3 linked regions of the Pelodiscus sinensis genome follow. The protein of the gene in region 1 interacts with the protein of each later gene in a pairwise test. Links are inferred from orthologs where the notes say so. Each region holds a gene or a part of one and is shown in the gene's direction. Other genes may lie near its edges. The genes, in order: AHCYL1, SLC23A1 and CDKN2C.

The links.
Region 2: the proteins of AHCYL1 (region 1) and SLC23A1 interact in binary tests that used the Homo sapiens proteins (3 or more experiments, as listed by UniProt). The two-hybrid records come from large-scale screens. The link is inferred for Pelodiscus sinensis from reciprocal best matches to the Homo sapiens genes AHCYL1 and SLC23A1.
Region 3: the proteins of AHCYL1 (region 1) and CDKN2C interact in binary tests that used the Homo sapiens proteins (3 or more experiments, as listed by UniProt). The two-hybrid records come from large-scale screens. The link is inferred for Pelodiscus sinensis from reciprocal best matches to the Homo sapiens genes AHCYL1 and CDKN2C.

Annotation. Positions count from the first base shown.
Region 1 is NW_027465886.1:177,209-187,628, reverse strand, and holds the start of AHCYL1 (S-adenosylhomocysteine hydrolase-like protein 1), read left to right. Parts: upstream 1-5,520; 5' UTR 5,521-5,634; coding exon 5,635-5,742; intron 5,743-10,420. UniProt on the Homo sapiens protein: Multifaceted cellular regulator which coordinates several essential cellular functions including regulation of epithelial HCO3(-) and fluid secretion, mRNA processing and DNA replication.
Region 2 is NC_134727.1:3,244,996-3,255,770, forward strand, and holds the start of SLC23A1 (solute carrier family 23 member 1), read left to right. Parts: upstream 1-6,569; 5' UTR 6,570-8,948; coding exon 8,949-8,984; intron 8,985-10,775. Other genes in the region: MZB1 (marginal zone B- and B1-cell-specific protein), read left to right, coding at 2,700-2,821, 3,934-4,038, 4,782-4,968.
Region 3 is NC_134719.1:8,339,809-8,349,725, forward strand, and holds the start of CDKN2C (cyclin-dependent kinase 4 inhibitor C), read left to right. Parts: upstream 1-5,407; 5' UTR 5,408-5,708; coding exon 5,709-5,837; intron 5,838-9,299; coding exon 9,300-9,680; 3' UTR 9,681-9,917. UniProt on the Homo sapiens protein: Interacts strongly with CDK6, weakly with CDK4. Inhibits cell growth and proliferation with a correlated dependence on endogenous retinoblastoma protein RB.

The DNA of each region.
Region 1 (10,420 bases):
CTGAATTTTTTTCTTTCACCAGCGTTACAAATCCAGAGTGAGAGCCAAGCATTGCTGGAGCACTGTCTGGGCATACATCAACCAGTTTTCCCCATGAAAGTCTATTTTCTTCAAAAAAGTCGGAAATCGTTTTCATAATATCAGAAGCCTTTGATGTGGTCATCAATTCCTTCGAAAAAAGCGGTTCTTCTTTCACAGTTCCATTATTAATGAATTGAACGTAGACAAGCAACTGACAACATTGTGCTACATCAGTGGTATCGTTGCACTGAATTGCAAAAGAAGAAGCCAACACTGCCTCCACAACTTGAAGTTTAAAGAACTTTCGCCAGCTCATCGATGAGACGTTTCAAGGAATTGTTAGAAAGTGAAATTTCCAATAGTTTTTTCTTGCTTTTGACACCAAGCACAATATCAGCAGCTTTCAACAAGCAAGGCTTCACAAGCGTTTCTCCGATTACGTGCGCTTTCTTGGCTTTAGCGATGAGCAATGACAGTTCATAAGAAGCTTCTACTTCTTTGGCCGATGGTTGATGAAAAGCTCCAATAGTGTCCAGCTTTGCATTTCAAATTTTGAAGTTTAGCAGCAAAAAACTCTTTTGGTTTGTCTGTCAAAGTGCTGTGGTTCTTCGCCAAGTGTTGCTCAAGACAACTAGGTCTCAAGGCGTCATTGCTAAGAACTGTGTGGCATTCTACACATGGAGAATGATGGATCTTTTTTTCCCCCATGACAGTGAAGACATATTTCATGTAGACTTCATCATACTTCCTTTTCTTAATCGCAGCCATAATATATTAATTTAAAACAAACTATAAAAATAATGTTCCCAATTAGAATAAATTTAATGGACACAAGTTACTTTGATAAGTTATTGCAAACATTTATTTACTACTACTATTACGTACGGACGCGTACTATCTTATATATACCCCACCACCAGTAACCAAGCAAGAGGGATAGCTCAGTGGTTTGAGCATTGGCCTGCTAAACCCAGGGCTGTGAGTTCAATCCTTGTGGAGGCCATTTGGGGCAAAAGTTTGTCAGGGATGGTACATGATCCTGCTGTGAAGGCAAGGGACTGGACTCAATGACCTTTCAAGGCCTCTTCCAGCTCTAGGAGATAGGCATCTCCATTAATTTACTCCCACGATAGAACAGTCCCGCAAGCATGCTAGAAAGTTTGAAAAAGTTTCATTTCCTTCTACATTGTCCTTTGGCCTCCCCACCAACCAAACTGGTTCCCCTATACTTCGAAAGGGTGTATATATAGAGAGAGAGAGAGGGCTTGACAAATAATGCAATCTGCTTGCCTGCAATGAGTAGATTTTACCAGCTGGCGAGTGCAGGGGTGGACTGGCCTGGTGGGCTGTTGTGATGGGCTGGCCGAAGCCTGCACTGGCCGGTGGAGGAGCACAGCGCTGCTGGGAAGGGGGAAGTGCAGCGATTCTTGCCACCGGGCTGCCTGCGTGTAGCTCCAGCGCGAGGGGGCGGGGCGGGACGCCAGGACGCTGGTGTGACGTGGCCCCGCTGATTTTAAAGAGCCACGGTAGCTTGGCTCTGGCCGCGTGTCCCTGGGAGCTGGCTGCGGCGCACGGCACACAGCGCAGCCAGGGCCCGCCCTGCCAGCCCCAGTCCTGCTATGGCCCCATTCCCCCTTTGTCTCCGTGCCACCCGTTCCCCACGCCACCACTACTCCCCGGGCCCCCTGCTCTCCCTCTTCCCTGCAACCCCTTGGCTCTGCGCCGCCCTTGCACCCCACACCCTGCTCCCCCTGATCCCTGCCCCCCCAGCTCTGTGCTGCCCATTCCCTGCACTGCCCCAGACCCCGATCCCTCTGCCCCTCCCGTTCCCCGCGCCACCCCCGTACTCCCCCACTGTTCCCTGCACTCCTCTGGCTCTGTGCTGCCCCTGCACCCTGCTCCCCCTGTGGGTCGGAGTGAAGGGTGCTTGCCCATAGGGAGGGGCTGGACAGGGCAGGGAAAAGGCTGCTGTGACCCAGCAGAGAGTGGAAGGGGGAGTTCACTTGAAGCGCCTTTGCCTTTATGGAAAAAACCGAATGAAAATGCTATTTGCTATTTCTAGGGCTAAAATGCGGGACAAAAACAAAAACAAACAAAGAAAACCCCATCGCAAAATGCAAACATGTATAAAAGACAACAACAAAGGGGGGGCGGCCAAAAATGTTTTGCTTGGGGTAGCAAAAAACCTAGAGCTGGCCCTGGGGCAGGGGAAGGGGCTGGGCTGGGCTGGGCTGTGGGGAGGGGAAAAATATGGGGAAGGGGCTTGTGCTGAGAGGAAGGGAGGGGAAGGGGGAGGTCAGGAGAAGAAGAAGAAGAAAGGGGAAGGCACCAAGGGATGGGGGTGCAGGAGAGACAAACGCCAGGGGGCCAAGTGCAGACAACGAGGGAAAGGGCAGGAGGGGAGGTGTCAGTGGGAGGGGGGACAGGGTGATGCTGGGAGAGGAGAGGGGAAGGGCATTGGGGGCTAGAGGGGGGAGGGGGAGGTGCTGGGAGAAGGCTTAAAAGAAGGGGTGGGCATGAGGAAGGCGGGGATGGAGCAAGGCATCTGTGAGGGCATAGGGGCATGAGGGGAATGGGGCAGAGGGTGGTGAGGGGGTGGGTATCAGGGAAAAAGAGGGCAAAGGGGGCAGGGGCAGTGAGGGAGGGTGCAGGGGCCAAGAGATTCTGGGGGTGGAGCAGGAGGGCAGACACCTGCAGGGGAGGGACCAGCACCAGAGGAGAGAGGCAGGGCAGGTGTGTAGAGGGAGGTGTTAGGAGAGGGGATGAGGAGGGGTAGCTCACATGAACAGAGTGGGGCTACTGGAGGAGTGGGCACAGGGGGAGAGAAGGGCTGGTGGAGGGGGGCAGGTCACAGGAGGGCTGAGGGCAGTGAGAAGGGCAGGAGTCAGGACAGCAGAGGAGGGTGAGGGGTTGGGGGCAGCAGGCACCGGGGGAGCTGATGGAGCAAGGGGAGGAGACATGGCAGCCGAGAGAAAAGGTAGAAGGTAGGGCATGGTACTCAGGGGGGTTGGGTGGGGGGCATGGTACTTGTGGGGGTTTGGGGAGGGGGGGCAGGTTACTCGTGGGGGTTTGGATGGGGGACAGGGTACTTGTAGGGGTCTGGGTGAGGAGAGAGGACAGCTAAGCTGGTACCTGGGGGTCCTGCAACCAGGTCCGGGGTCTCAGGAAGCACGTGTGCTACTTATTCCCTGGGCTGCTTCCTGAGTTTGAATTGGTAGCTGTTTGCAAGTCTGCCCCCGTTTGAGCCTTTTAAATCAATGATCATTCAAAAAGCCAAGCTCCGTGGCCCCTATTGTCCAGGGGAAATTAGCACCTTTTCCAAGTGGCTCTGGGGCGAGTCTGTAGCCCCGGGAGGAGGGAGGGAGGGAGACTTCGGGAAGCTGCGGCGCAAAACAAACAGTTAAAGATGAACTTTGGGTGAGGTAATGCCAGCACGGGGTCTTTCTTGGGGAGGTTCGGGGGGGCTGGGTCACCTTGCACCCCCCTGGAATTTCTTCACGCCCCCCAGTTTGGAAACCTATGATCTAAATGATCCTTCAATTATTTGAATGGCCAGTCTTTCATTAATCTTAATCACCAGCCTCCCTCTTTTTACAAGCTCCTTGCCCAAAAGCAAAGCTGCAAGCGGCTCAAACTCTGTTGTGTTTAAGAACTGTGTCTGGAACCAGGGGCTGCAGCTTTAAGCAGGCCTCAAGAATGAAAACCAGGGATTCAAACATTAGGGCTACATCTACACTGCAGGCTTCTTGTGCAAGAACATCTGTTCTTGCGCAAAAACTTGCGGAGCATCTACACTGCATGCGCATTTTTGTGCAAGTAAATTTACAGTAGAACATCGGGCTTCTTGCGCAGGAGTTATTCCTCTCCCCACGAGGAATAAGCCCTCTTGTGCAAGAGCTCTTGTGCAAGAAGGCAGTGTGGACGAGCAACAGGGGTTTCTTGCACAAGATTCCCCTATGGCTAAAATGGCCATCAGAGCTTTCTTGCGCAAGAGAGCGTCCACACTGCCATGGGCGCTCTTGTGCAAAAGCACATGGCAGTGTGGATGCACTCTTGTGCAAGACCTCTTGTGCAAAAGAGTTCTTGTACAAGACGCCTGCACTGTGGATGTAGCCGGGGGGGAAGGGGGCTACTGCTTCCCTAACTTCCCTAAATGGTGCCCTTGGTTGTGGTCTTCTATCCTAGCTGTCTCCTTGCAGCTCTAATGCCCTCAGGCCTTGCCTTGCCTAAGGCCCTGCAATCTGGGAGTGAGGTCAGGCCCGAGCTCCCCAGCTCTGCCTGCCTTTCCCCAGCCTGCTCTGTCACAGGAAGCCTCCAGCTTCCCTGGCAGCCAGGCCCCTCCTGCTCCCCTGCTGCTGACTCAAGAGTGAGTCTTTCCTCCCTTGGGGAGCCCTTATTTATACAGCCCATGCTGGACCCTAATTGGCTGCTCTCTGCCACATCTGCTTGCTCCACAGCCTCTCCCAGGGCTGGATTTAACTCTTTTTGGCCCACCACAACTTACCATGGCAAGCTAGTTCCTGTCTGGTTATCTAATCTTTCTTAATGATTCAATGTTCTCTTAGGCTATGTCTACATTGGCAAGATTTTGCGCAAATACTTTTAACGCAAGAGTTTTTGCGTTGAAGTATTTGCGAAAGAGAGCGTCTACACTGGCATGTGCTTTTGCGCAAGAGATGTGCTTTTGCACAGAAGCATCTGTGCCAGCGTAGACACTCTTTTGCGCAAGAAAGCTCCGGTAGCCATTTTAGCCATCGGGCTTTCTTGTGCAAGAAATTCATGTTGCTTGTCTACACTGACCCTCTTGCGCAAGAGGGCTTATTCCTGAGCGGGAGCGCCAGAGTTCTTGTGCAAGAAGCCCTGATTTCACACATTAGAACGTCAGTGTTCTTGTGCAAGAACTTGCGGCCAGTGTAGACAGGTGGCAAGTTTTTGTGCAAAAGCAACCACTTTTGCACAAAATCTTGCCAATGTAGACACAGCCTTCGCTATGCCCACGGCCACTGCACAGTGTGTGGGGTGTTTCCAGGGAACCATGCACAATGACTCCAAGACCCCCTTCCTGGGCGGGACCAGGTCATTCAGATCCCACCATTTCATACCTACATTTAAGGAGATGTTTTCCAAGGTGCATTATTTTGCATTTATCAGCGCTCAATTTCACCTGCCATTTTGTTTGGTGAGACCCCTCTTCATGGTTGGTCAGCCCCCCAACCCACATAGCCCCCCAACGCTCAGAGGAAGTGGTGCCCACTGGGACAGGAAATCCAGTGCTAGGCTCAGCCCCACGTGCTCCCCCGCCCCCGTTAGGTCTGGCCGCTGCAACGCCACGTGGAGGCGGTGGGACGCTCCCACTCTCCTCCGCTAGGGGGCGCCGCCGCGAGCTCTACCCTCTGTGCGTGCGGCCTCCCCTCCCGGCCCGTGCGTGCCGCGTGACGTCAGGCCCCGCCCCATCCGTTCGGCGTGTGACGTGTGGCGTGCGCCGCTGCAAGCCCCACCCCCTGCCGGAGCGCGCGGCGTCCGCAGTCCCGTTGCCGCAGAGCGCTCGGAGCCGGAGCCTCCTGCCTGAGCCCCGCGCCCCCCCCCCCCCCCCCCCCCCCCCCCCGCGCCACCATGTCGCTGCCCGACCCGGCCGGCGGGGACGAGCTGAAGCAGGCCAAGGAGAGCGAGGCCGCCGAGAAGTTCTCGTTCCTGGCCACGGTCACCAAGGCGCCCAAGAAGGTACCGGGGCGGGGGGGCGAAGGGGGATGCGGGGGGGCGGGGGCGAAGGGGGTTTGGGGAAGTGTGGGGGGGCGGGGGCGAAGGGGGTTTGGGGAAGTGTGGGGGGGCGGTGGGGAAGGGGGTTTGGGGAAGTGTGGGGGGGCGGTGGGGAAGGGGGTTTGGGGAAGTGTGGGGGGGCGGTGGGGAAGGGGGTTTGGGGAAGTGTGGGGGGGCGGGGGGGAAGGGGGCCGCGGGGGCCGAAGGGGGTTTGGGGAAGTGTGGGGGGGCGGTGGGGAAGGGGGTTTGGGGAAGTGTGGGGGGGCGGGGGGGAAGGGGGCCGCGGGGGCCGAAGGGGGTTTGGGGAAGTGTGGGGGGGGCGGTGGGGAAGGGGGTTTGGGGAAGTGTGGGGGGGGCGGTGGGGAAGGGGGTTTGGGGAAGTGTGGGGGGGGCGGTGGGGAAGGGGGTTTGGGGAAGTGTGGGGGGGGCGGTGGGGAAGGGGGTTTGGGGAAGTGTGGGGGGGCGGTGGGGAAGGGGGTTTGGGGAAGTGTGGGGGGGCGGTGGGGAAGGGGGCCGCAGGGGCCGAAGGGGACTCGGGGAGGTGGGGGCGAAGGGGAAGGAGGCTCAGGATCTGTGTGGGAGGGTGGCGAGTGGGGGGAGGCTGGTTCCAGGTAGGGCTATCCAGTTCGGGGGTGGGGTACAGAGGGTAGTGGTGATGGGCTTCTGCTCTTGAGATCCTGTTGGCAGCATATCCAAGCCGGCTGCCAAGTAGGGGTGGGTGAGGGTAAAGGCCTGTGAACTGGCAGCATGTACCTGGCAGTGGGGATTACAGGTCATAGGGGAGCTGGCCACCTGCTGTGACTCCCATGGGTTGCACTGGAAGGGGAGCAGGGGGAGCGGCTGCCCATAGGATGTGGGTGGGGAAGCTGTTTGCAGGATGGAGTGTCCTGGAGTTGTAGGGAGGACAATTCACAAAGCTTTGTAGGGTGGGTGTGAGGGGGAATTGTGATGGCCCTGTACAGGTGTCTGTCATGAGTCAGGTGGGTAGGTTTGATTTGAACTGGGCAAGTTATCTTCTATGATCTCAGGGTCAGCAGGAAGGCAACCTGGGAGTGGGTTGGAGGATGGCTTTGAGGCTGGGAGGAAGGTACCAGTAGCTTATGAACTGGGTCATGACAGCAAGGTGTAGGGAAGCCCAGGAGATGTGATTAAATATCCCCTGAATATTTCAAGAATACAGCAAGCCAGGCATTTTCGGGAGCAGTATGTTTGTGGGTGCAGTGGACAAGTGTGGGCAACCAGTGTGAGGAGGGATTTGAGGGCAGCTTTGAGAGAAGGGCCCATCTGATGGCAAGTTTGAAGGGGATGCAGCTCTAAAGCTTCCTGGAGTGCTCTCTGTGCTCAGCATTCCCCTCTTGTCTCTTCACCTAGAACATGACTGAAATTCTCCCATCAGCTGCTCAGTGCTAGCAAAGGTGAGAGTCCTCAGACTTGGTTACTGAGGCTTTTACCTCTCCATCATCTCAATTTTGTCTGAGTTGGATTATACAAGAAGATGGTAAAAACTCTTTGCTGTAGCCACCACTGGTAGAGTTGCACTTATGGTGAATTTCAGGTCTTAACTTTGCATGTGTCAAGAGAGTGGGGACTCTGGGATCTAGACTGGCTGTGGGAGATCCCGGCTGTATTGAATATCATGTTTTCCCCTAGGGTTATGCCACATGCCTCAGTGTTAGGACTTGAACAGAGTAAATGGGAAAAACACTAGCGTGCTCAGCCACTGGAAATGCAAAGCCTTCCTGTGAGAAAGTTTTGATTGTTTGCATAGGTGCTGGAATTTTAGAGGGCGGAGGTACTACAGGCCTTTTAAATCATTTGCATTTGAGACATCCCCTTCTGCCTAATCTTGAATAACTAGCATTCAGCTGCCAGTGACAAGCCCTCCATGGATCTTTCTGTGCATGGTATCTATGCAGACAGTGGATATAGCCTGGAGCAAGGAGCAGAAGAATGCAGAGGCTAAGAGCTGCTTTTCCCCAGAGGTGATTCTGCAGCTGTAACCATGCTTCTGAGAGAAGTAAAGCAAACACTTCTTTTGAGTGTTATCTCCTTGCAATCTTGCACAATAGAGATGGAAGTATAGCCTGAGGCTTGTGCCCACATAAGCTGTAGTGTGGCAGTGATATGACAGATGAATACGCTGTAACACATAAGCATCCCATGGTGGGGGTGGGGTGTGGGGGTGGCAGTTACAGCAGGGGTGGTGAGCAGTGTGGGACAGCCCTCCCTTTAATGTGAGGATGCATAGGGTTTAGCTCAATCTTGTTCTTGTGAGAGGAGCTCTAAAAGGACTCATTCTAAGACAGGGGAGGGATCACATGGTGATTCCCTGTTCTATTCCCTCCCTCTGGGGCACCTGGCACTGGCCACTGCCGGCAGACAGGACGCTGGGCGAGATGGATCTTTGGTCAGACCGTTCTTATGCTCGTAACTGGACAAATTGGAGAAATGGTCTGAGGTAAACAGGGTGAAGTTTAATTAAGACAAATGCAAAGTGCTCCACTTAGGAAGGAACAATCAGTTTCACATATACAGAATGGGAAGCGACTGTCTAGGAAGGAGTACGGCAGAAAGGGATCTAGGGGTTATAGTGGACCACAAGCTAAATAGGAGTCGACAGTGTGATGCTGTTGGGAAAAAAAGCAAACATGATTCTAGGATGCATTAACAGGTGTGCTGTGAGCAAGACGCGAGAAGACATTCTTCCGCTCTACTCTGCGCTGGTTAGGCCTCAGTTGGAGTATTGTGTCCAGTTCTGGGAACTGCATTTCAAGAAAGATGTGGAGAAATTGGAGAGGGTCCAGAGAAGAGCAACAAGAATGATTAAAGGTCTAGAGAATATGACCTATGAAGGAAGGCTGAAAGAATTGGGTTTGTTTAGTTTAGAAAAGAAAAGATTGAGGGGGGACATGAGAGCAGTTTTCAGGTATCTAAAAGGGTGTCACAAGGAGGAGGGAGAAAACTTCCTCATCTTGGCCTCTGAGGATAGAACAAGAAGCAATGGGCTTAAACTGCAGCAAGGGAGGTTTAGGTTGGACATTAGGAAAAAGTTCCTAACTGTCAGGGTGGTCAAACACTGGAATAAATTGCCAGGGAGGTTGTGGAATCTCCATCTGTGGAGATATTTAAGAGTAGGTTAGATAAATGTCTATCAGGGATGGTCTAGTCAGTACTTGATCCTATCATGAGGGCAGAGGGCTGGACTCGATGACCTCTCGAGGTCCCTTCCAGTCCTAGTATTCTATGATTCTATGTGTGTGGGCCGTAATGATAGCCCCTTGAATCCGCTGCAGTTTCATAGCTTGATGTGCAGCTGTCTGGTTACAGTGCTGCCAGGGGCCTGCTGGGAGCACTTCAGGACATGCAGCGAATGTCCTCTGAGACTGATGACATCAGTAGCCAGTGAAATCTTGGGTGCAGGTGCATTGCCATCAATAGGAATCAGTGCTCCAGGCCACTACCCAACCAGAGATTGAGACTAGCACTGATAGCAGAGGCGTTGGCAAAAACGCCAAAGTATACAATGCTAAGTGCCTCCAGCTTATCTCACTTTCCACAAAATCATAACCATTAACAAGCCTCTTTCCTTCTCGAGGCTTGTATTGATTTCCGTGAGTGCAAAGTTGGTGTGATTTCTGTGTGCCTTTTTACAGCTCTGAAACGCCCTCCTTTCACACAGGCATCCCAACCTTTCCTCAGCACCTCAGGCAGAATCTGAGAGAGTCCCTGTATTTGCCAGGAGACTGAGAGGCCAACAGCAGTTTGCTTTGAACAAAAGCTTCTCTGAAGGCCGGTGGGCATGAAGATCAGACCTAGGGAGAGGATGGGAACATCTCCAGGATTTGAGTGCTGGTTCTGGCTAGTCCTTTGTGCTGACCATTCTAGACTAGCTTTTCAAAGGGCAGTCGTGTTTATGCTTGCCAAGAAGCGCATGTTCAGTTTCCCAGGGTAAGTGCCTAATTTGAGAAGCAGGAGGGAAAGTTAGGAAGAAGTGACCCTGATCAAAGGTGGGCTCCTGCAGAAGTAGATGTGCTCCTCATGTTTGATGAGCCCTCTGTGGCAGCCTGAAAGAGCCAGATGGGGAAATCCTTGTTGGTTACATACCCTAACCTTGAGGATCTCCTGTTTCTTCACTTGTCATTGAATTGGTAAAGATTAAAAAGTGAAGCAGCAGGAGGTGAGTGATTAAGAGATTATATGTGATCAACTCTGGCTTTAAATCCAAGGCCAAAGAAGGCGAGGTGAATTGGAATTCGACCTGGAACTGAAATGTGGTCTTCCCCCTCTTATCGATTAGGGAAACTAGTTTACCTGAGGCTCCCTTTTGACTGCAGTCTGCTTATTTGGACTCATCGTGCTTTGTCTTTTCTGTTATCAAAATAACTCCAGCTTTGATCTCCAGTGATTCTACCACAGTGCAGTGGGCATTTGAAGAAAGGCAGATGTTAGCCAGTGTGTGCTGTGCTGTAGTGCCTAGATTAGCGATGGGCAGCCCAGGCTAGTGAGTGGGCCTCAGGCAGCCTCCTTCATCTCAGGGGGCTGCAAGATTGTTGGAACCAAGGCAGTCTCCTGGACTAGGGTATTTTTTCTAACTGCTTCTATACCTAGAATTTGTGGGGAGTGCCAACTGAACTGGAGCTGT
Region 2 (10,775 bases), on another chromosome or scaffold:
CCACCCACACCCCATGCAGAGTGGGGTTACAGGCATCCCTGTGCAGCAATCCCGCACCCTGGACACCCACCCACACCCCATGCAGAGTGGGGTTACAGGCATCCCTGCACAGCAATCCCGCACCCTGGACACCCACCCACACCCCATGCAGAGTGGGGTTACAGGCATCCCTGTGCAGCAATCCCGCGCCCTGGGCACCCACCCGCACCCCATGCAGAGTGGGGTTACAGGCATCCCTGTGCAGCAATCCCGCACCCTGGACACCCACCCACACCCCATGCAGAGTGGGGTTACAGGCATCCCTGTGCAGCAATCCCTCGCCCTGGACACCCACCCGCACCCCATGCAGAGTGGGGTTACAGGCATCCCTGTGCAGCAATCCCGCACCCTGGGCACCCACCCGCACCCCATGCAGAGTGGGGTTACAGGCATCCCTGCACAGCAATCCCTCGCCCTGGGCACCCACCCGCACCCCATGCAGAGTGGGGTTACAGGCATCCCTGTGCAGCAATCCCGCACCCTGGGCACCCACCCACACCCCATGCAGAGTGGGGTTACAGGCATCCCTGTGCAGCAATCCCGCACCCTGGGCACCCACCCACACCCCATGCAGAGTGGGGTTACAGGCATCCCTGTGCAGCAATCCCGCGCCCTGGACACCCACCCACACCCCATGCAGAGTGGGGTTACAGGCATCCCTGCGCAGCAATCCCGCACCCTGGGCACCCACCCGCACCCCATGCAGAGTGGGGTTACAGGCATCCCTGTGCAGCAATCCCGCGCCCTGGGCACCCACCCGCACCCCATGCAGAGTGGGGTTACAGGCATCCCTGCGCAGCAATCCCGCACCCTGGGCACCCACCCGCACCCCATGCAGAGTGGGGTTACAGGCATCCCTGTGCAGCAATCCCTCGCCCTGGGCACCCACCCGCACCCCATGCAGAGTGGGGTTACAGGCATCCCTGCGCAGCAATCCCGCACCCTGGGCACCCACCCGCACCCCATGCAGAGTGGGGTTACAGGCATCCCTGTGCAGCAATCCCGCGCCCTGGGCACCCACCCGCACCCCATGCAGAGTGGGGTTACAGGCATCCCTGTGCAGCAATCCCGCGCCCTGGACACCCACCCACACCCCATGCAGAGTGGGGTTACAGGCATCCCTGTGCAGCAATCCCTCGCCCTGGGCACCCACCCGCACCCCGTGCAGAGTGGGGTTACAGGCATCCCTGTGCAGCAATCCCGCGCCCTGGGCACCCACCCGCACCCCATGCAGAGTGGGGTTACAGGCATCCCTGTGCAGCAATCCCTCGCCCTGGACACCCACCCACACCCCATGCAGAGTGGGGTTACAGGCATCCCTGTGCAGCAATCCCGCACCCTGGACACCCACCCACACCCCATGCAGAGTGGGGTTACAGGCATCCCTGTGCAGCAATCCCGCACCCTGGACACCCACCCGCACCCCATGCAGAGTGGGGTTACAGGCATCCCTGTGCAGCAATCCCGCACCCTGGACACCCACCCACACCCCATGCAGAGTGGGGTTACAGGCATCCCTGTGCAGCAATCCCGCGCCCTGGGCACCCACCCACACCCCGTGCAGAGTGGGGTTACAGGCATCCCTGCACAGCAATCCCGCGCCCTGGGCACCCTTCCCCTCCCCCCCTGTTTCCCCACTTTTTAGCAGATTAGAGAACGAGCTAATTTGCATACTTGAAAAGTCTGCCTGTCTAAGCTTTGTGCACGGAGCTGCACAGCCCCTAGCCAGCTGGGCGCGTGTTCTAGAGAGGGCCTGGGATGCTAGGGAGAGGGGTGGACCCTGGTGGGTGCCCGAGGGGGAGCCACTGGGGCCAGTGATGTGCCCAACTCTCTGACCCCCAGCGGCTGCTTCCCTGTTTAGATCCAGCAGGGGGTGCTGCATGAGGTGACAGAAAGGGGCCTTCTGGCTGCTTGTGACTGTCCCCTGGTGGCCACCAGCTGCAACTGCAGGATAGTTGGCCGCTTGGCCAGCAGCTGAGCCCTCCCCAGGACTCTGCTCCCTGCCTGTCCAGCCTTCCCCCCGCCCCCAACGCCTGGCTGCCGTCTCCAGCCTGCCCCTCCAGGGATGCCCGAGACCTGCGAGCCAGGCCGGGCGGTTGGGCAGGCGGCAGAAGGGGAGGGAAGGAGCCAGGCGGAAGCTGGGCAGAGGGCGGGAATGGGCATGGAGTGGAGCAGGCAGGGTGGGGGCGTCTGTCTGTCTGCTCCATGCACTTGGGGGGCGGGAGGGGTCCCGCTGCAGGGCAGCAGTCGAGCCCGGGAGTCGGGGACTGGCTGTCGGACGAGCCGAGTGGAACCCAGCTCTTCTGAGGGCCAGGGCTCCCCATCGCCGCTCCCACGGGGCTGGTGCGGGCAGAGGGCCCCGCTTACGCCAGCTGGCCTGGGGCATTTAGCACCTGTTTACCCCAGCAGGGGGTCTCGAGGGGCCGTGGCAGCGTGGCGGAGTGGGCCCTGCACGTGTAGTTTCAATATCTGGGCGAGGCCCCCTGAGAGCCCGGAGGTTCCTTTGTGGGTGCGCGGTCTCTCCCCTCCACGACACTCTAGGTGCTCGCAGCACGTTCGGGTGGGGGGTCGGGCGTCCCCGGCCAGGGCAGGCCGCTCTCCCGCCAGAAGGCTGCTGCCACCCCTCCGCCCCGGTGAGCCGGCTCTGTCTTGTGCCGCAGCTGCAGGAGCACCTGGCCAGAGCCGAAGCCAAGCGGCCGTCTGCCAAGGCGCCGGGCGCGCGCCTGAGCGAGTCTGAGTACCTGGAGGCGCTGGAGGGGAGCTGCTCGCAGAGCTGGGAGAAGTGAGTGGGCGCGCTGAGCCGGGAAGCCCTCGCACGCAGGGGCGGCCGGTGTCTCTGCCCAGGGCAGCCCGGCCTCGTCGCCTCCTCAGCCCCCGAAAGGCAGCGAGCGGCAGGCCAGGCCCCGCAAAGCTAACCCCCCCGAGCGCTTCCGGGGAGACGCCGGCTCTGAACGTCCGACGGGACTGAGACAGTGCCGGGCGCTGCTTATCCCCGCCCTCCGGCAGGCCAGGCCCAGCGCCTCCTCTCGCCTGCGGCTCTCAGCGCTCCAGTGAGGGTGGGGAGGGGCGGCACCCCGCCCTGGGCGTGGTCTGGGGGAGCACGCGGCAGCACCCTCACACGGACAGAGGTGTGTCTCCAGTGTGCCCTCCCCGTGCTGGCTGCCTGCCACTGTCCCACTGGCCCCTCCCGCCACCCCGCGACCCCGCCACGTTCTCTCCCGCCACTGCCCCATGGGGCCCTCCCACCGCCTCCTGACCCCGCCACGTTCCCTCCCGCCACTGCCCCATGGGGCCCTCCCACCGCCTCCTGACCCCGCCACGTTCCCTCCCGCCACTGCCCCGCGGTGCCCTCCCACCGCCTCCTGACCCCGCCACGTTCCCTCCCGCCACTGCCCCATGGGGCCCTCCCACCGCCTCCTGACCCCGCCACGTTCCCTCCCGCCACTGCCCCATGGGGCCCTCCCACCGCCTCCTGACCCCGCCACGTTCCCTCCCGCCACTGCCCCACTGGCCCCTCCCGCCGCCCCATGACCCCACCACGTTCCTTCCCGCCACTGCCCCACTGGCCCCTCCTGCCGTCCCGTGACTACCCACGAGGGCTCAGCTCTGGGCTTTGGGCCATGCTCATCAGGGCTCAGATTCGAGCCATGCTCAGCAGGGTTCACTGAGCTGCGGGTGAATCCCTGGGGGGCCTGACATGGAACAGGAGGGATGCAAACCGGGGAGAATGGTCTCTGCTCTCAGGCCAGTGACCACAGGAAGAGCCTGAGGGGCCCTCCCCTCGCCAGCCCCCGCCCCCGCCCCCGCAGCCTCACGCTCCCCTTCCCCAGGAAGCTTGGGGTTTATGCAGAGCAGCTGCTCCGTGACTATGGGGGCTCCCTCTTCTCTCCCCAGCTACGGCGTGAAGGAAGTGGGGGGAGTGCGACGCTTCGCCGGGCCAGGCCTGAAGAGCGAAGAGACCGTGAGTGTGATGATGACGGGCGGCCCGTGGCCCACGAGGTGAGCCCAGAGGCAGGCAGGAGTGAGGGGCTGGGGAGGAGCAGGCGGGGGCAGGGAGGTGGCTGCAGCCAGGCTGGAAACACCACGTGCAGTTCCCTGCTGGGGGTGGGGGGCGGCCCCCCTGGAAGCCAGCTGGCTGTTTTTCTGGGTGCTAACTGGACTGCCTGTGGCAAACGAGGCTCTGCTAATGGTGCCCGCCAGAGGAAATGGAAACGGGGCTTAGGCGGGTGCCCCGGGGCTCTCGCCCCCAGGCAGGGACCAGCCTGACCCCCACTTCCTGCTGAGCAGCAAAGGCGACAGGGCAGCCGCCGAGCGTGCTCCCAGGCCTGGCTCCCCATGGCACTTACACGTCGGGCCCTGCGGCCCATTTTCCCAGGTGGAACGGTGCCAGCGCCCTGCCAAGCAGCAGCAGGGTTGGGAGCCAGGCACGTTGGCGGGGAAATCCATAGCCCCGAGCCTGGATACTGCTGCAGTGTCTCGTGTTCGCTGACCCTCCCTGCGGTGCTCACACAGCACTCGGGCAATAGCATCTTTCAGCCCCAGTGCCCAGCGCCAGCTCGGGAGATTACGGCAGAGAGCAAACTTGCTCGCTGCTTGCAACAGCCCCGAGAAGAAACAAGACCAGAGCACGGCCCAACTCACAGTGAGACAAACGACTCGCCGGACTGTGAGGGACAGCGCCCTCTGGGGGCACCTGCTGGAACGATACCGTGGAGTCCTCTTTCCGTTTCTCGTTTTTGTAGGCTCTACAAGCTGTGCCAGAGCTACCTGGGCGACTTCGGGGAGGAGCAGATTTACGAGGAGTACCGACGCAGGCCGGACGCCTTGGCGGAGTTCCTGTGCTCCAGAGAGCAGAGAGCCTGTGCAAGACTTAGCGATGCCCAGGGCGGCAGCCTAAATGAAGCGAAGGCTGTGCAGAGTGAGCTGTAGCACAGCTCCTGCACAGCCCAGACTGGACAGTAGGTTTACGCTGACGGGGTGTACATCCGGGCAACCCCATAGTAATAAACCACCGTGTACATCCGGGCAACCCCGTAATAACAACCCACCGTGTACATCCGGGCAACCCCGTAATAACAAACCACCGTGTACATCCGGGCAACCCCGTAGTAACAACCCACCGTGTACATCCGGGCAACCCCGTAATAACAAACCACCGTGTACATCCGGGCAACCCCGTAATAACAAACCACCGTGTACATCCGGGCAACCCCGTAATAACAAACCACCGTGTACATCCGGGCAACCCTGTAATAACAACCCACCGTGTACATCCGGGCAACCCCGTAATAACAAACCACCGTGTACATCCGGGCAACCCCGTAATAACAAACCACCGTGTACATCCGGGCAACCCCGTAGTAACAACCCACCGTGTACATCCGGGCAACCCCGTAATAACAAACCACCGTGTACATCCGGGCAACCCCGTAGTAACAACCCACCGTGTACATCCGGGCAACCCCGTAATAACAAACCACCGTGTACATCCGGGCAACCCCGTAATAACAAACCACTGTGTACATCCGGGCAACCACATAGTAACAAACCAAAATACACAGTCAGGCAACCAAATAACAACAAACAAATGTAAACCCAGGCAACCTTTTCCGAACAAAACGACATGTACCATCCGGAGCTTAATACGGATAAAATGATATTCTTAGCCCAGGGATTATTTATGGGCAACCCTAAAATAAACCAGTGCCCATACATAATTACACCCCGTATATCAATCCAATGCCAGGAGTACCTGGTGGCATTTCCTCGCTGTAAATTACCACAGCTCCCACAGCGTCAGTCGGAGCTGGGCTGTAGCCAGTGGCACCCTGACAGTTTCCACCTGCTGCCCACTAGAGATAATATAATCTCACTATATTGAAATAGTTACACCCCATCTGAGGTTTAGAAGTCCCAGCTCCTTAGAGGTCGCTCTGATTTCCTTTCCCGTACTGAGTCGTGGGGATCATGTACGTTTGTTGTTGAATTCCTCAGGTTCCTGTCTGTACTTATTCTGAGTAATACATTTTACTGGCTATATGAGTATAAATCAATGGCCCGTGGTTTTCCACTGGTTCTCACGTATTTAAATAAGGAGGAGTCCTGTGGCACCTTAGGGTATGTCTACACTGCCAGCCTAGTTCGAACTAGGGTGACTAATGTAGGCATTTGAACTTGCAAATTAAACCCCAGATTTAAATATCCCGGGCTTCATTTGCATGTTCCCTGGCAGGCGCCATTTTTAACTCCCCCTAGTTCGAACTACCTGCCTGCGGCTACACGCGGCACGAACTAGGCAGTTCAAATGAAAGCTCCTAATTCGAACTACCGTTAAACCTCCTTGTAGCCGCGGGCAGGTAGTTCAAACTACGGGCATTTAAAAATGGCGCCCGCCCAGGAACATGCAAATGACGCCCGGGATATTTAAATCTGGGGTTTCATTTGCAAGTTCAAAACTGCCAGTGGGAGCAGAGTGGGCAGCACCCCAAACCCGCTGGGCCTCCATGAGGGGGGCATAGAACTGGGCAAGACGTAGCAACGTTTACAGGACGAGAGGGCCCAACCCCCAGCCGGAGCACTGTTCTTCCCAGGCTCTTCGGGAATGACTGGAACAGCTCTGGTAGGGCTGTGCCCCCAGCTGGACTTTTCCCCGTGTAGAGGATGCGGCCACCAGAAACTAGAGATGTCTCAGGTGAACGCAGGATTGTGCTTTGGGCCCGGCCTGCGCATGGTCTTTGTGTCACTATAACGCCAAGCTCCCAGTCTGGGTGCAGTTACCCTGCTGCTTATCGTTACAACGGTACAAAAGCTGGTGCAGCCCAGCCACCCTGGGTCCCTGCAAGGCCTTTGCCCGGGCCGGTTCCCAACCATTCAAGCGCTGCAGTGCTTCCCATGGGGAGTCTCTCGTTCCCGACGGGATTCCACGCCGAGCAGCTCCCCCCACCTTTTCCTGGACCACATATTTGCCATCCCTTGGGATGCCCCAATAGAGAGACGTCCTCTTTGTGCGGGCGATTAACGGTGACTAATTCTGCTGTCTGCCGTTTGAGCTGTCCACCACCCCACCCCCATGGGACTGAGAAGCCGACTGATGATGGAACCAGCTGAGAAGGAGCGGGTGGCCTGTGATAAAGCCAGGACGTTGGCGGCAGAAAGGGGCTGCAGGGAAAGCAGTCTGCAGTCACCCCGGGGAGAAGCCAGAAGATGTAGGGAGGAGACCAGGGCAACAGCAACAGGGGCTGGGAGAAAGACCATGATTACTACCCATGGGGCCCGTGGATGGAAATGGAGGGCGTGGGCTGGGTTAGAAGTGGTGTAGGCCACTGTTCAACAGGACTCTGCTATCCCGGGGGGGGACCAGAGTGACGTGGCTGGAGGGACAAGCCACGAGGAGGGAGCCTCCTGACACATGGAGGGGGGAGAGGTGACAGGGAGCGTGAGTGAGGCGCAGACCCAGTGGGTGCTAGACCCAGAAGGAGCAGGTCCCCGGAGCCGCCAGGTGAGTGGACCCAGGACACTTTGTCCTTTCCCATAGTCTTGGCCCCTGTCCTCACCTGGGCCCGGAGAACATTCGCCCCCCCCCTTCATCGGCAAACATTCCTCAGAGCTGATGTGTCAGTTAATACGTAATGTCATAGCAACCTTTGTCACTAACGGGCTACCAGCGAGATCCGTGTGAATCGGGGGTAGGCAAGCGAGCAGAGACTCCCAACAGCAGCACAAGCGCTGGGCCGCTCACACCTTCCCCTCAGCCTCCTGCCCTGCAGCCCAATGAGCCTGGGTCTTCGCAGCATGGCCCCCGGCAGCACTAGCTCCCCCCGTGCTCCCCATCACCGTGCTGCTCTCCCGGCCTGACCGCTCGTGGCAAAGGGGAGCGTGGGCTGCGTGGCCCGTTCAGCCCTTGGCCACTATAGGGCTGGTGGATGGTCAGCTACTGGGACCAGGCTCAACGCCACCAAAGAGCAGGGGACTGGTGCTCTGCCTTGCAGCCGCCAAGAGCCAGGAACAGATTAGAACCAGCATCATCAGGCCATGTTAAGGGTCAGTCTGGGAGAGGGGTGGGGCCAGAGCGCCCCAGGAGATAGGCTGTGCCAACTGGGCAGCGAAGTGGGGGACCTGGTGCTAATGTTTCCCCCCCTCCCCCATCCACAAGTTTTGTCAGGATCGTTATTTCAAAGCGATGGCAAGAAGAGACGTGGACGGGAAGAAGCGGCTGCCGTGTCCTGCGCCATATGCCAGGTCCACACTAGAAACGTTTGCCAAGCTTGTGATGGGGGGGGGGCGTTAGTCTTACGACATTTCTGCCTAGTCCAAGCCAAGACTGGGATCTGCACGTAGCTTCCGAGCTGACTTGTCTACAGTTTGGGGCTGTTGTCTGGCCAGTCGCGTATCTGTTTGTAAAACAGTCGTGATGTCTGCGGCCCTGAAATGCCCAGGACGGGCCTGTCTATATAATGCCAAACCCCGGGGCAAGCCTAGCCCAAAGGGATGGACATTGGGAACCTCGCATTCTTTAGCGTTGCCTCTGCACAGCTTCAGGGGAAGCCGACTGTAGGTGGATACCTCTTAAGCTGGCAGGGGTTGTGAACAGTCTGTTTATGAACCAGCCAGTTATTCTGTAACTCAGCTCTCGCCTGTCTTCACAAAAGGAGCTGTGAAAAACCAACAAGCCTTCGGACAGCTGCGCATCCTCCCCTCACCCCCCGCGAGGCCGAGCACAATTCATGGAGTTAATAGATTATCTTTAAAAACACAGCTCTGGTTTCTTTCCCAACCCGCAGCCAAGCGCCCTGGTTACAGATTGACTCCAGGAACAATGTCGGGTGAACCGACTAAAGTCCTCCCCACGGCCATAAAACAGCGTCACTCTCCAAAGGGCCGGGGGAAAGCTCGGTGCCGCTCTGCAGGTGATGGGGACCAGTTTGGAAGATTTGTCTCAGCCCCAGGTGACTGTGATGTTTGCTGTTCCTGTATTTCACCCCTCCCGTCCCGACTCCCCAGATGCATCCATTTCCCTGCTTACGGTGTTTAACCGGCTGAGAAACCAGCTGTGTGGGTTGTGACGGGGGCAGAGGGCAGCGATCGCAGGATCTTTCTCAGCCGGGCGTGGGAAGTTAGAGGCTGCTATCCCCTGACTGGCTTGGGAAGCCAGATGGCACCAAGCGCGTCCCTTTGGACAGACTGAGCAAACAGGAGGCCTCCCGGGATGCCCGCGGGTTTAGGAGCGAGGGGGAAGAGACTCGGCCCACGGGGAGGGGTGAAGCTGCTGCGCCACCCCAGAATGGAGCACTTGGCTCCTCAAACGGCAACTCACTAGTCAGAGGAGATGAGGTTCAAGCGAGCCCCTTTTGCCCTGCCTGGTCGGGGCCTGCCTCGCCCTGGGCAGCTGCCCCCTTCGACGCGCCCCAGGAACCCTGGCAGCTTCCCCCCCTCCCCCTTCACCCCGCTTCTGGGTTCAGCCAAAGCCGTGGGACTCCAGGTCGGAAGGTTCTAAGATGCAGGCCAAGACTGGAGATCAGGCGCCAGGGGACAAGAGCCACAGATGGAGAAAGGGGATCCAAGAAAGTCAGGGCTCTTGGGGGGTTTTCTCAGGTAAATGTACAAGGAACTGGGCTTTATTTTTAAGGGCTGCTGCAATACAGGGACTGATGCTGGTTGGTGCTGAGCACATACAGCTGCCACTGCAGATACCGGGTGTGCAGTGCACTGAGCACACACGCACACCCTGCAGCAGGCTCAGCCCCTTGCAGGATTGGGCCCTACAGGATTGGGCCCTATTGTGGCAGATTTAGTATAACTGCTTTACAATGTGGCATAGCAGTTCTTCAAGCTCCAACTTCTTGTGTGTGTGTGTGTGTGTGTGCGCGCGTGTGTGTGTGTATACACGTGTGTGCATGGGGAGGGGTGTTAAACACTAGTGTATTCCATAGCAATGAGCCAAACCCCATCAGTGTTACTAGTGAGGGGAGAGTGAGCTGAGCACCAGGAACTCCTGCTAATCCCAGTGCTGACACCAACGGACTGGGAAACCTTGAGCAAGTCACTTATTCTCTCTGCCTTGGATCTCCCATCTGTAAAATGGGGGTAATAAGTCACTACTATCTCCTAAGGGTGCTCTGCTGGTTAATTAGTGTTCTGTAAAGGGCTTTAAATATGCTATATAAACAGTGACAGTGTTGTTAATTCCATTCATTTATTTTAAGGAGGGATATTATATAGCTGTGTACCTGCCATTTGGTTTCTCTGTACTGAACCTCTGCATTTCTAAGGCCTGGTGTACACACCGACTGGCATAGATAGCTGTTATTGTTAGGGAGCGAGATTTTTCACTGATACAGCCATACGGCTACACCCGAGAGGAGATGCTATTGTACCAGTATAAAGGTACCTCATTCCAGTATCACTCATTCCCCTTCCTGTACAGGGCTTGCTATACTGGTGTAAGCACATTTATACTGGTTTAGCTGCGTCCACACTGAGCGATTGTACCACTTTAACTACACCGCTCGACTACCGTGTTACACCCCTATAGTTACAGCGGCTCAGCTTCGAGGCCAGCAACCGGGGTGTGAGCCGCGCTGCTGCCGGGTGTTGCAGAGGAGACGCACACACCACACTATTACTGAGCGGCTCCGTTTGTCCCGGCTCACGCTGCTGCTCCCTGCAATGTCCGTCGATGGCATTCAGCCCGGCGTGCAAACACAGACCGGCTCTGCGCATGGGGAGTCTCTCTGGGG
Region 3 (9,917 bases), on another chromosome or scaffold:
AATGGCTGCTTTATTTTTCAATGAGATTTAATATCTTGATTTATTTTAACTTAATCCATTCTGCTTCACATTTTGACAAAGTTTTACATGAATGGCAAATATTACTTGATTTTTTAAACATCTCGTCAGTATGGTGATTAGGGTATTTCTTTATATGTAGTTTCTGGCTGTCACCAGTAGGGTACCGTGTAAACTGAGTGAGCACTTGGGTGGATGCCCAGGAGAGGTTCAAATGCCATCCACCTGATTAGCAGAATGCCTACAGCCTGCAGCATGTGTTTCTAGTGGTGGTGCACATCTGCACATGCCTTGGTGCACATAAAATTTATTCCACCCATGGATGAAAAAAATTACAGGAAACATTGGTCACCAATTTGACCTGGATTACTTGTCACCATCTAGCATGACAAAGAGCTAGGTGTATTTATGTTGTAAATTTAGGATGTGTGCCAGAATTACTATGTTACTCAATGAGTCATAGGATGAAACATTAAATCATTATTGTTGATTGAGGCCTAAGCAAGGCACCATTTCTTCCTCCAAATACACTCCCACAAATAAATGCTTTTCTCACAGAGAACACCCCCTAAAGGTGTTTTAGCTATCTGATGTGGTCATAATTAATGCAGCACTGGGGTAATTTTGCCTTTCTGTACTACAATATCTAGTTGATTTATATATAAACAGATTGATACAGATAAAACAGGTGCTTTAATTGACATACATAAATACAATGAAGCAGCTCCAAGACAGATTAATTGTTCCTTAAATAATCATTTCCTTAGATGATACATGATTTTCTATAAACTGGACAGTGACTTCCTTTTAATAAGAAAAAAAGACAAGGAATGGATAGATATGCAAGATTCATTTATCAGTCCTAGTAACTCCTCTCATATGGGAAACAACAAATTTGACTTAGGTTTGTGACCCAACCGCTGTTAATATGCATAATAGCCCTTACTCTTAGGATTCCCAGAACAATACTTTAGGTCTCAGGGACATTACATATCACTAAACTTGTTTTATAACACTTATACAAGTCCTAGTTTTCAGCGTTGTTTGTTGTTTTTAAATATATGTCCCCAAATGTTTTCCATCTCTCCTCTGGCTATATATGCACAATTTGACTCTTTAACTGGCTAATTAATCCAATGGGGGGGGGGGTTGTTCACGCCTTATATCATTTCTAGTCACTTCGCTGCCATCCATCACAGACTCAGTCGCAGCCTTCCTAAAATTACACGATGGGCAAGATCTACATTACTATATTCTTTTCTATTTTAAGATCCCTATATCTTATTTTCCCGTTTGTAAGACGATATATACAAGCCTAATCAGAATATATATGCTTCCTGCTGATCATCAGAAAAATAATGGTAGGATTGATACTCAAAGGGAGAGGGGAGGGGAAAACAGGAAAAGAACAAGCCGCAGTGGAAGCCATTAAAGAAAAAGAGGTTAAATACCCATTACACACGCAAGTTACAAGCTGCAGAAGAATATGGAAACGTTTTACTGAATCTGCCTGGAGGTTAGACCATTTGCCCACAAGAAAGCAGTAAGATAGCAGGACATAGAATTATTAAGGCACATTGCTAGGTACTAATAAGAACGGTGATCTTTATGATGCATTTGTTTTGTTTCATATGACTAGACAATAGTTTCAGAATTTCAAGATGAACTATGACAATATCAAAGCCCTACTTGTGATGGAAAGAAAAATATACCATTCAGACACGGTATTTTACTTCGTCCTGCTCCTGTTTCAATTGCTGGTGGCAGGTTTTAGAGATATATTACACGTGGCTGGTTTAATAATTCTAGTTTAACTTTACAGAATTAATAGATGACATACCTACTACTGACACATTATCTCTTTTCCACTGCTTGGCATTACAGATAACTCTGTACTATAGATACTATGTGGTTCAATACCAGAGACAATATATACTCAACTGCAAACCAATCTACCCACATAGTACCACAGAATAATTATAATAAAGGCTGAAAGGCAAGTTTTATACATTGGACTAAAGCCAACTATTTTCTGTAGTAATTTAAAACTGTAGTTTAGGAAATAGCGCTGCAATATTACTCACGGCCATCAGCTGTAGTCAAAAGTTAGTTACCTTAGTGCTTAGGGAGCAGTATTTGAAGCGAAAAGTATCCATCTTACATGAAATAAAGAGCAGGATCGGGCCAAAATGAGAAGAACAGATGAAAATGCGAAACCTAAATTATGTCACTTGAAGCCCAGATTACAATAATATAGCTTCGTTTATTCCCCTTACTACTCAGAACTCTTCAATAAGCCCCAAACTGGGGTTTCCTACACATACTGGATACATTAGAAAAGGTCCTGGGAAGATAGGGAAATCAGGTGGGTAAGCGATTGCAGTGCTCCATGCGGTGTTCGATGATTACTGTATATCGGCAGAGGGCGTTTTTATGTTTGTGTAGTATATTGTTTTATAAAATGTCTCTTTAGCATTGTTAGCAGTAATTAATTAAAAACAACACGCTCCTTTCCACAAACATTTTAAAGGACCTAAAAGGCAGCAGGTGGGATGATGCTACTTTTTTTGCCTGGTCAATATAAAGATGGGGGGCGGGAGAAAGGGAGGCCTTCCGTGTCTCAGAGTAAACCATTTTATCTTCTGGTATCTGAAAGAAGGATTATTCTTCTTAAGAGTCATTTACAAAAAGTAGTGAGAGAATATAACATTTTGGGGTCGAATTCTGCAATGACTTAACCTACGTATGATTCAATTAAAGTTAACAGTCTTGAACTAGGAGTAAGTCAGCGCAGAATGTATTTACAAACTACTTAGTGAAACAAAGTAGTCTAAATAACATTGTATATTAAATGCCTGTTTTCAGAAAGCCTGTATTATTGAAAATATTTATTTCTAGAATTAACTTTGAAGGGAGTTAAAAAACACACTTCTGCCTAGAAAATTGTTACTCTTATAATTTATAACACTTAGGTTTATTATAACAGAATTTTAAAAACATGTGCTCTTTTTTCATCTTATTTGCTGTGCATGTGATAACAAGTAGACAATAGTTTCATTCTTTCCTGTGCTATTCACTGTGTATCTGCCCGTTCATCAGTTTCCCGTTGCTTGTATCAGTTTTTCAGAAAACAATAGAGAAAAGAAAAAAATTCAAAATAGGAAAATGTGGCAGTGAACTTTGCCACGAGACGGAGATGTCTAAGCAGTACTTCTGCTTTGTAACTTTCAGATGGGCATGTCCGTTTAAAAACAAATGATATGTCTAGCATTAGGCATCTTAAATCAGGCCCTGAATTTGCACTGTCTCCGCACACAAAACTTGCACTGTTGTCAATGGGAGTTTTGCCTAGTCTGGAGGGCAGGACCGGCGTCTTTGATTATCTGGTGTTGTTTTTAAACAGATCCATTCAATGGCATCTCTCTGAGTTAGCCAGTCAATGTATGTACGTTTTCATGAAAAGGAACATTTTGCTTGTGCATGGACAGTAGAGCGACACAGTATTTATCAAAGGAACATATCAGGTGTACTTTATGCTTAGTGGGAGTCCTGAAACTGCAGGATACTTTCGTGGAACTGAAGCTTTAAGGCTCACGGAAATGTAGAGCAATTCAGGATTCAAAACCGTCTGCAATTCGACTGATTTTCGCCACCTCCGGCACATAAAGTCCTCACGCCCTCTCATCGCAACTTCTTTCTGCTTTGATATACAAGAGGATCCCTCATTTCTTGCATTAGAGCCCTGGTACTTTTCACTTAACCTGGCACTTTTCAGGTGTTCCAGGATGCTAGAGACAAGCCAAGCCAAGGTTTCGGCCCTGGGTTATCGCAGTTCACAGTTAGAATACCTTGACATTGGCCCTTTTAGCCATGACCTTGTCTTTAGGGAGCAAGCCCTAGTGAGGAGACCTGGAAAACGCCTCCTTGCGGGATGACAGTGGCCCTCGGCTGGCCCGACGCTGTTCGCGCTGACTTCAGTGGCGCGTCTTACGTTTGCTTCCCTGAGAAAAAGGATCGGGCTCCTGTTACCTTGCTATGGCCTGCGGAGGCAGGTGGCGGCTAAGGATGCCCACTAGCAGGCTGCTCATGGACACGCACCTCGGTCCTGAACTAGTTCCTACCAGCCCCGCTCGAGCGCGTTGCACGACTGTCGCCTGGTGATATTTCTGCGGCAGGCGGGCGGCACCAGCGCGCCCGCAGAGTCATCCCCACCAGCCCGCGGGCGACGGCTTGGCCCTGCCGCGGTGTCAAGGGACAGCTCCTCGCTAGGCCTCGCCAGCGGCCTCTCACAGCGCCAGCCGGGGCGCGGAGGGGGTGGGAGTGCTGCTCCCGGGCGCTGGTGGACGCCGGGCGAGACACCAGGGGCCGAGTGTGCAAACTGGCGCTCCGCGGGCCGCCGGGGCCTGCGCGCTGTGCCAAGCCGAAGGGGCGGAGGGTGCGCGCCGACGCAGGCCTTCCTGCTCGCTGGGCAACTCCGCCGGGCCTCCTTAAATCTCTGCCGTTAAAATGTGGGCGGGTATTTCAACTCAAAAAGCGCTCAAATTTTCCCCCTTTTCAAAAAAAGCTGATGAGGTGAAAAGCAGCCGGAGGAGGCGAGAGGCAGAAGCGGGCTGGGGTCCGGGGGCGCCAGCCCCCCCCCTCTCCGCCCGGCAAGTGCAGCTGGCTTTGGCGGAGCCGGGTCGCGGCTGTCACTGAGGCGGCGGCTTTGCAGGGCTGGGGAGGCGGCGCAGCCGGACCTGCGCTTCCCGGTCTGTGTCAGCTCGCCCCGGGCCGGAGCAGCGCCGCCCGCGAGCCCAGCAAAGCGAACGAGGGACGCCGCGATCGCCAGAGCCAGCGGAGCCCCGGGGCCGAGGCGCGGCGGAGGCGGGAAGGGCTCGCCCCGTGGCTTGCAGCCGGGACGCCGCCGTGTCCCCCGGCCGGCTGGATGGAGCACGCGCCGCCGCTGGGCTTCTCCGCCTTCCCGTGAGGCGCTGGCACAGGCATGCAGCCGCCCTCTCACGGCCGCAGGGAGGGCGCCGTCTGCGGGCCCGGTGCCCTTCCGATTGCACCGGGCAACCATTGCTGGGGGCCGCTGAGTCTGCGCCTAGGGCGGCGGCAGCTGGAGACCGCGGACGCTTTCTCCTGAGCCAAGGCAGCTAGTGCGTGAACTGTGCGGCGGATCTGCCTCCTGCTGTCTCTTCCCGGGGCTTTTCGCCCCCTCGTACTTGGCTTGAAATAAACGCAGCTGGCTGCAGTGAAGGGGGTGACCCCAAGCAACCATACGGCTCCAGGAGATTTCTCTGCGAAGTTGTTCCTGCTGAATTCTCAAATCTCGACTTGAATAAGGGTGGGTTGTTTTCTTCTTTAGCGTGAGTCAGTCTCCTAGGTATGTGTATATATGTTACCTATAACATATATAATATATTCTATAATATTAATATATTTCCCCTTTAACGTGGCCAAAGTCCTCGGTATGAGTTGCTCTGCATGTAGAAGCAAAGAAATATTCTTTCGAGTGGAACTGCACTTTTGCTGAATAATCACGTGTGAATTTAGGGGCGGGCTCTTGGCAAACAGTTTTTTACGAGTATTTACTACAAGGTCTACTCCCGAAGATTAACCATCCCAGTACTTCTGTCAGTCTCCGATGCCATGCCTGGTTAAAAACTCCCCCAAACTCACCTATTTTCGATCGTCAGTCACCCTAAAGAATGGCCGAGCCTTTGGTGAACGATTTGACGTCCGCATCTGCAAAGGGGGACCTAGTGCAACTTACTAATTTGTTGCAAAAGATTGTAAACGTCAATGCCCAAAATGGATTTGGGAGGACTGCGCTGCAGGTTGGTATCCAGAGAGAGAGAGAGAGAGAGAGAGAGAGAGAGAGAAATATTTCATCACTGCTACCTCCGTGACCCGCGTTACAGAAAGCCCGATTCTAACTAGGCTGGTGTACAGAATTTCTGTATTTTTTAACCTAGTTGGTTGCCATATTTTATAACTTTAGTGGCTCCAACTCCCTAAAATGACGTACTTGTAATAAAACTGGCCAAAACCATTATTTTTAAACGGGGATCATCCTCAATATCAAATAGGCTGCCAGTTTAATCCAATTTTAATATTGAGGGAAGGGGAAGGAAGGCAAGGAAAAGGTGGATGATATGAAAAGAAAACATCCTAGCTGAGCCCTGTTTCAGAGACGATTTGTAAACACATAGGTCTTATTACTCGAGGTGTTGTGTTGTATTTTTATACGGAGTGTTTTTAAACCATTAATGTTCGCGATTATTTATTCTGGAGTGAATGGTGCTTTTCCTTTATACGATGTTTTTGACGAATGACCTTTCTGCATTTGGAAACATGCTGCACGGGCACTCCGTACCTTTAGATGTACATTAGCAACTGGACGAATGAGTTAGACTTCAGTTTGAATCACTTGCCGAGCCATTCATAATTAAGGCTCAATAAAGATAGTATTGTCAATCAGGACCCTAGTGGATGGACTCAAAATATTTCATTTCTGAGGCTATAAGATTGTTTGGCTTAATGGTCAATATTTAGATGTACAGGCAGTAGTTGGAACACATCCAACTGCGAAATACTGAAATTGAGTAAAGTTTTCTTTATTTAAGAGCATCATAATGATGGTGAAAATGTTACAATACAGACGAAAACGTGAAACAAGCAGTTGTTCCCTGAGCTGAAATTCTGTGGCAATTTACAATGTACAGTGTAATGTAGGGAAATGTGAAATTAGAGTAATTGGGGGGGGGGTTAAGTTCACAGTTTTAAAAACGTGTTTTTGTTTTAAAATGCGAACTGCTGAAATGTTCCTTTCAGACACTGTATTATTTGAGACTGAAATCCAGATTTTTACTGCGTTTTTGGCTTAAAATCAAAATTAAACTCTGGAAAAGAGGAAATTCTTGTATGAACACAATAATAATTCTTATTTTTCTGTTTCACTGAAGCTCAAGAACTATGCGATTATCCTTGCAATATTATTGCTATTACTATTGTCACATAGGTGTGGGACTTGTGAGACGCGCAGACACCTTATTAGAGAATGAAAGAGCTTATATAAAAAACGGAGACAAACTAACTTCTGTTAGGAAATCAGGAAATGTTTAGCCAATATTTTATCTTTAAAATGAGGCTGAAAAATACAGTTGCACTGAAGTAAATGTAAGGCTTCAAAATAACGGACTTACATTGGGAAATATTCTACACAGTGACATACATTTTCAGCTATCTTAAACATAAGATAGTCACTTAAATTGCAGCTTAATCATAACCGATTTGATTAACCATAGCACAAATCAAAACAGAGTTGGCTAGCTACTTATTTTCAGTATGTATAAACCTGAAACATGCTGTGGGTAGGTGACAGAGCTCAAGAATATTTTCAGTCAACATTCTCTAATATTGTTCACTCGGTACTGAACCGGATGAAAGTGAAATTGTATTTTATTATACCAATATGCTAATGTAAACAGCTACTTTTATAAATATATCCTCTTCATTTTCTTTTTGACTTTGAGTACTCATGCAGGCCTTAGATATTGAGTTTCCAGTTTGACCTCCTTCAGATTTGTTCTAAAGATCTTATGTCTTACCCCATTACCCCCTGCCGCCCCCAAATTACAAAATAATTGATATTTGAAGAGACAGTTCTAGCCTAAATCGGCCTAGCATTACCTTTATATAATATATACATTTATTTCATTTTTTCGGCTTCAAGTGCTGCCTTTCAGTGCCATATCCTGTCATCTTTGCTTACTCAAAACTCACTCTGAAGTTTTCGAGTGAGCAAGGAATCGAGGATGGGCTCCCCAAAAGAATTGCAGATACGTTTAAGGTATCTGAAAAAAGGAAGAAAGGAGGACGATGCCTTCGCTTATTTTCCAGAAGTATAGCTGTACCTTTTATACTCTCTAGTTGAAAGGAATGCAGGTAATATGTAGGAAACATTCAGTTATCACTTATCCCAGATAACCTTTCCCCAATCCGATTTGTAGATTCAGTACTGTTACACATATTATAATATAGGGGATGTATATGTGCCTTTCCCCACAAAACCTAATTCACATTTGTTTTCAGTAACAACACATTTTCAACAAATGCCTCGTAGAATTTGTAATTTGTGTTTACTTTAGTGCAACTGTAATCCTTGTTTATGCTAATAATAAAAAGCTCTTTGCAAGATTTTCAAGATATCAGCTGGTGCTAGTGAAAGACAGCAAGATTTTCAAGATATTGGTTAAAAATGTTCTAAAGAAGTAAAGGCAGTATTTTTCCCTTATCGAGGTTGTTAATAAAATTGTCTCCTTGCTAGAGCAGTTGAATGCAAAGTCTTACACAGCCTGCAACGTCGGAAATTAAGAACTATCTTGTTTCATTATTTTAAAGGCTAAGGGACAGAAGTTCTGGCGAATTTTGGGGTCGGGCCAAGCCACTCAAACTCCTAATCAGAGATGCCCATGTGCTCACTTATAATAGGTTAATGATAAAGAAATAAAGTTTTACTTAACAAAAAGAATCATTAGGAACACTGATCGCTCTTTTCTACCATGGGTTATTTTTAACAGCACACATTCACAGATTAGACTAAAATTATGAAGCTATGAGATAAATCTTTCTTTTTACAATAATTTAGGTGAACTTTAAGTCGTTGCTCTTAAGTTCTCCATTTTGGGCAGCACACAATGAACCATAGCTCTTGCAGAAAACCTGAAAGGATTATTTTCTGCAGAGAGAAGTGCGGCACATTATACGATCATACTGACACTTATTGACAAGAAACAGACAATTTAAACACTTCCATTGAAGAGTTTATCCCATTTCGTGTTATTGAAAGTATACAATATCAGAGCCTCAGAAAGTCATCCATCTTACACTTAACGGGTTTAAAGAGGTAAATGAAATTTTCTAGATATTCATGGTAAGTGAAGCCGACCTATATATAGTTTTTAGCAATGAAAAGACTGAGATGAAAAGGCAGTATTATAAAAAGCAAGATAACCTCAATATTCCATACTAGCTAATTTTGACATTAATCTTCTGTAGTTCAAGAAGATATTTCTCACTGGAACAATACAGCTAATCGTAAATTTACTGTGGTTAGTGCAGAAATTAGAAAGTTACGCTTCCCCTCACATTAATTTTCTAACGGGCTTCCTCTGCATAGATAAAATAGGTCTCCCTCTGGAAGAAAGCTCAAATATAAAAATTAAGATTCTAAAGTGAGTGAAACGAGCAATTCTAAAATTATTTACAGGATTAAACTCTTATCTTTTCCTCTTTAGGTAATGAAACTTGGGAATCCTGAAATTGCCAGGAAGTTGCTAAATGCAGGTGCTAATCCTGATCTGAAAGACAGTACTGGGTTCGCTGTAATTCATGATGCAGCCAGAGCGGGTTTCCTGGACACGGTGCAGACTTTACTGGAGTTTAACGCTGATGTTAACATTGAGGATAATGAGGGAAACCTGCCGTTGCACTTGGCAGCTGAAGAAGGCCACCTCCCAGTAGTGGAATTCCTTATTAAGCACAAAGTAAGCAAGGTGGACCATAAGAACAAGGAGGGTTACACTGCCTACGACTTGGCCAAGCTGTACAAGAAGAACGATATAGTTAAACTAATGGAAAGCAGCAGTTTAAGTGCAGAAGCTGCAGACATGAATTAAATCAAACACGGACAACTTCTTACTTGGACCTACGAGCTTCTAGCCCTTGTTTTGAATAACATTTATTGAAACATTTTTCTTTTTTTTAAGTAACTAGTGCAAGTCTAGTGAAACTGCAAAGGTGTAGATTTTGTAGACAGTGAATATATTTAAAAATCACACCAATAGCATTTCCTGCACCTGCCATCCCCAAAACGCTAGAAGAGACACAAGACGGACATACGTTGATCGCTTTTG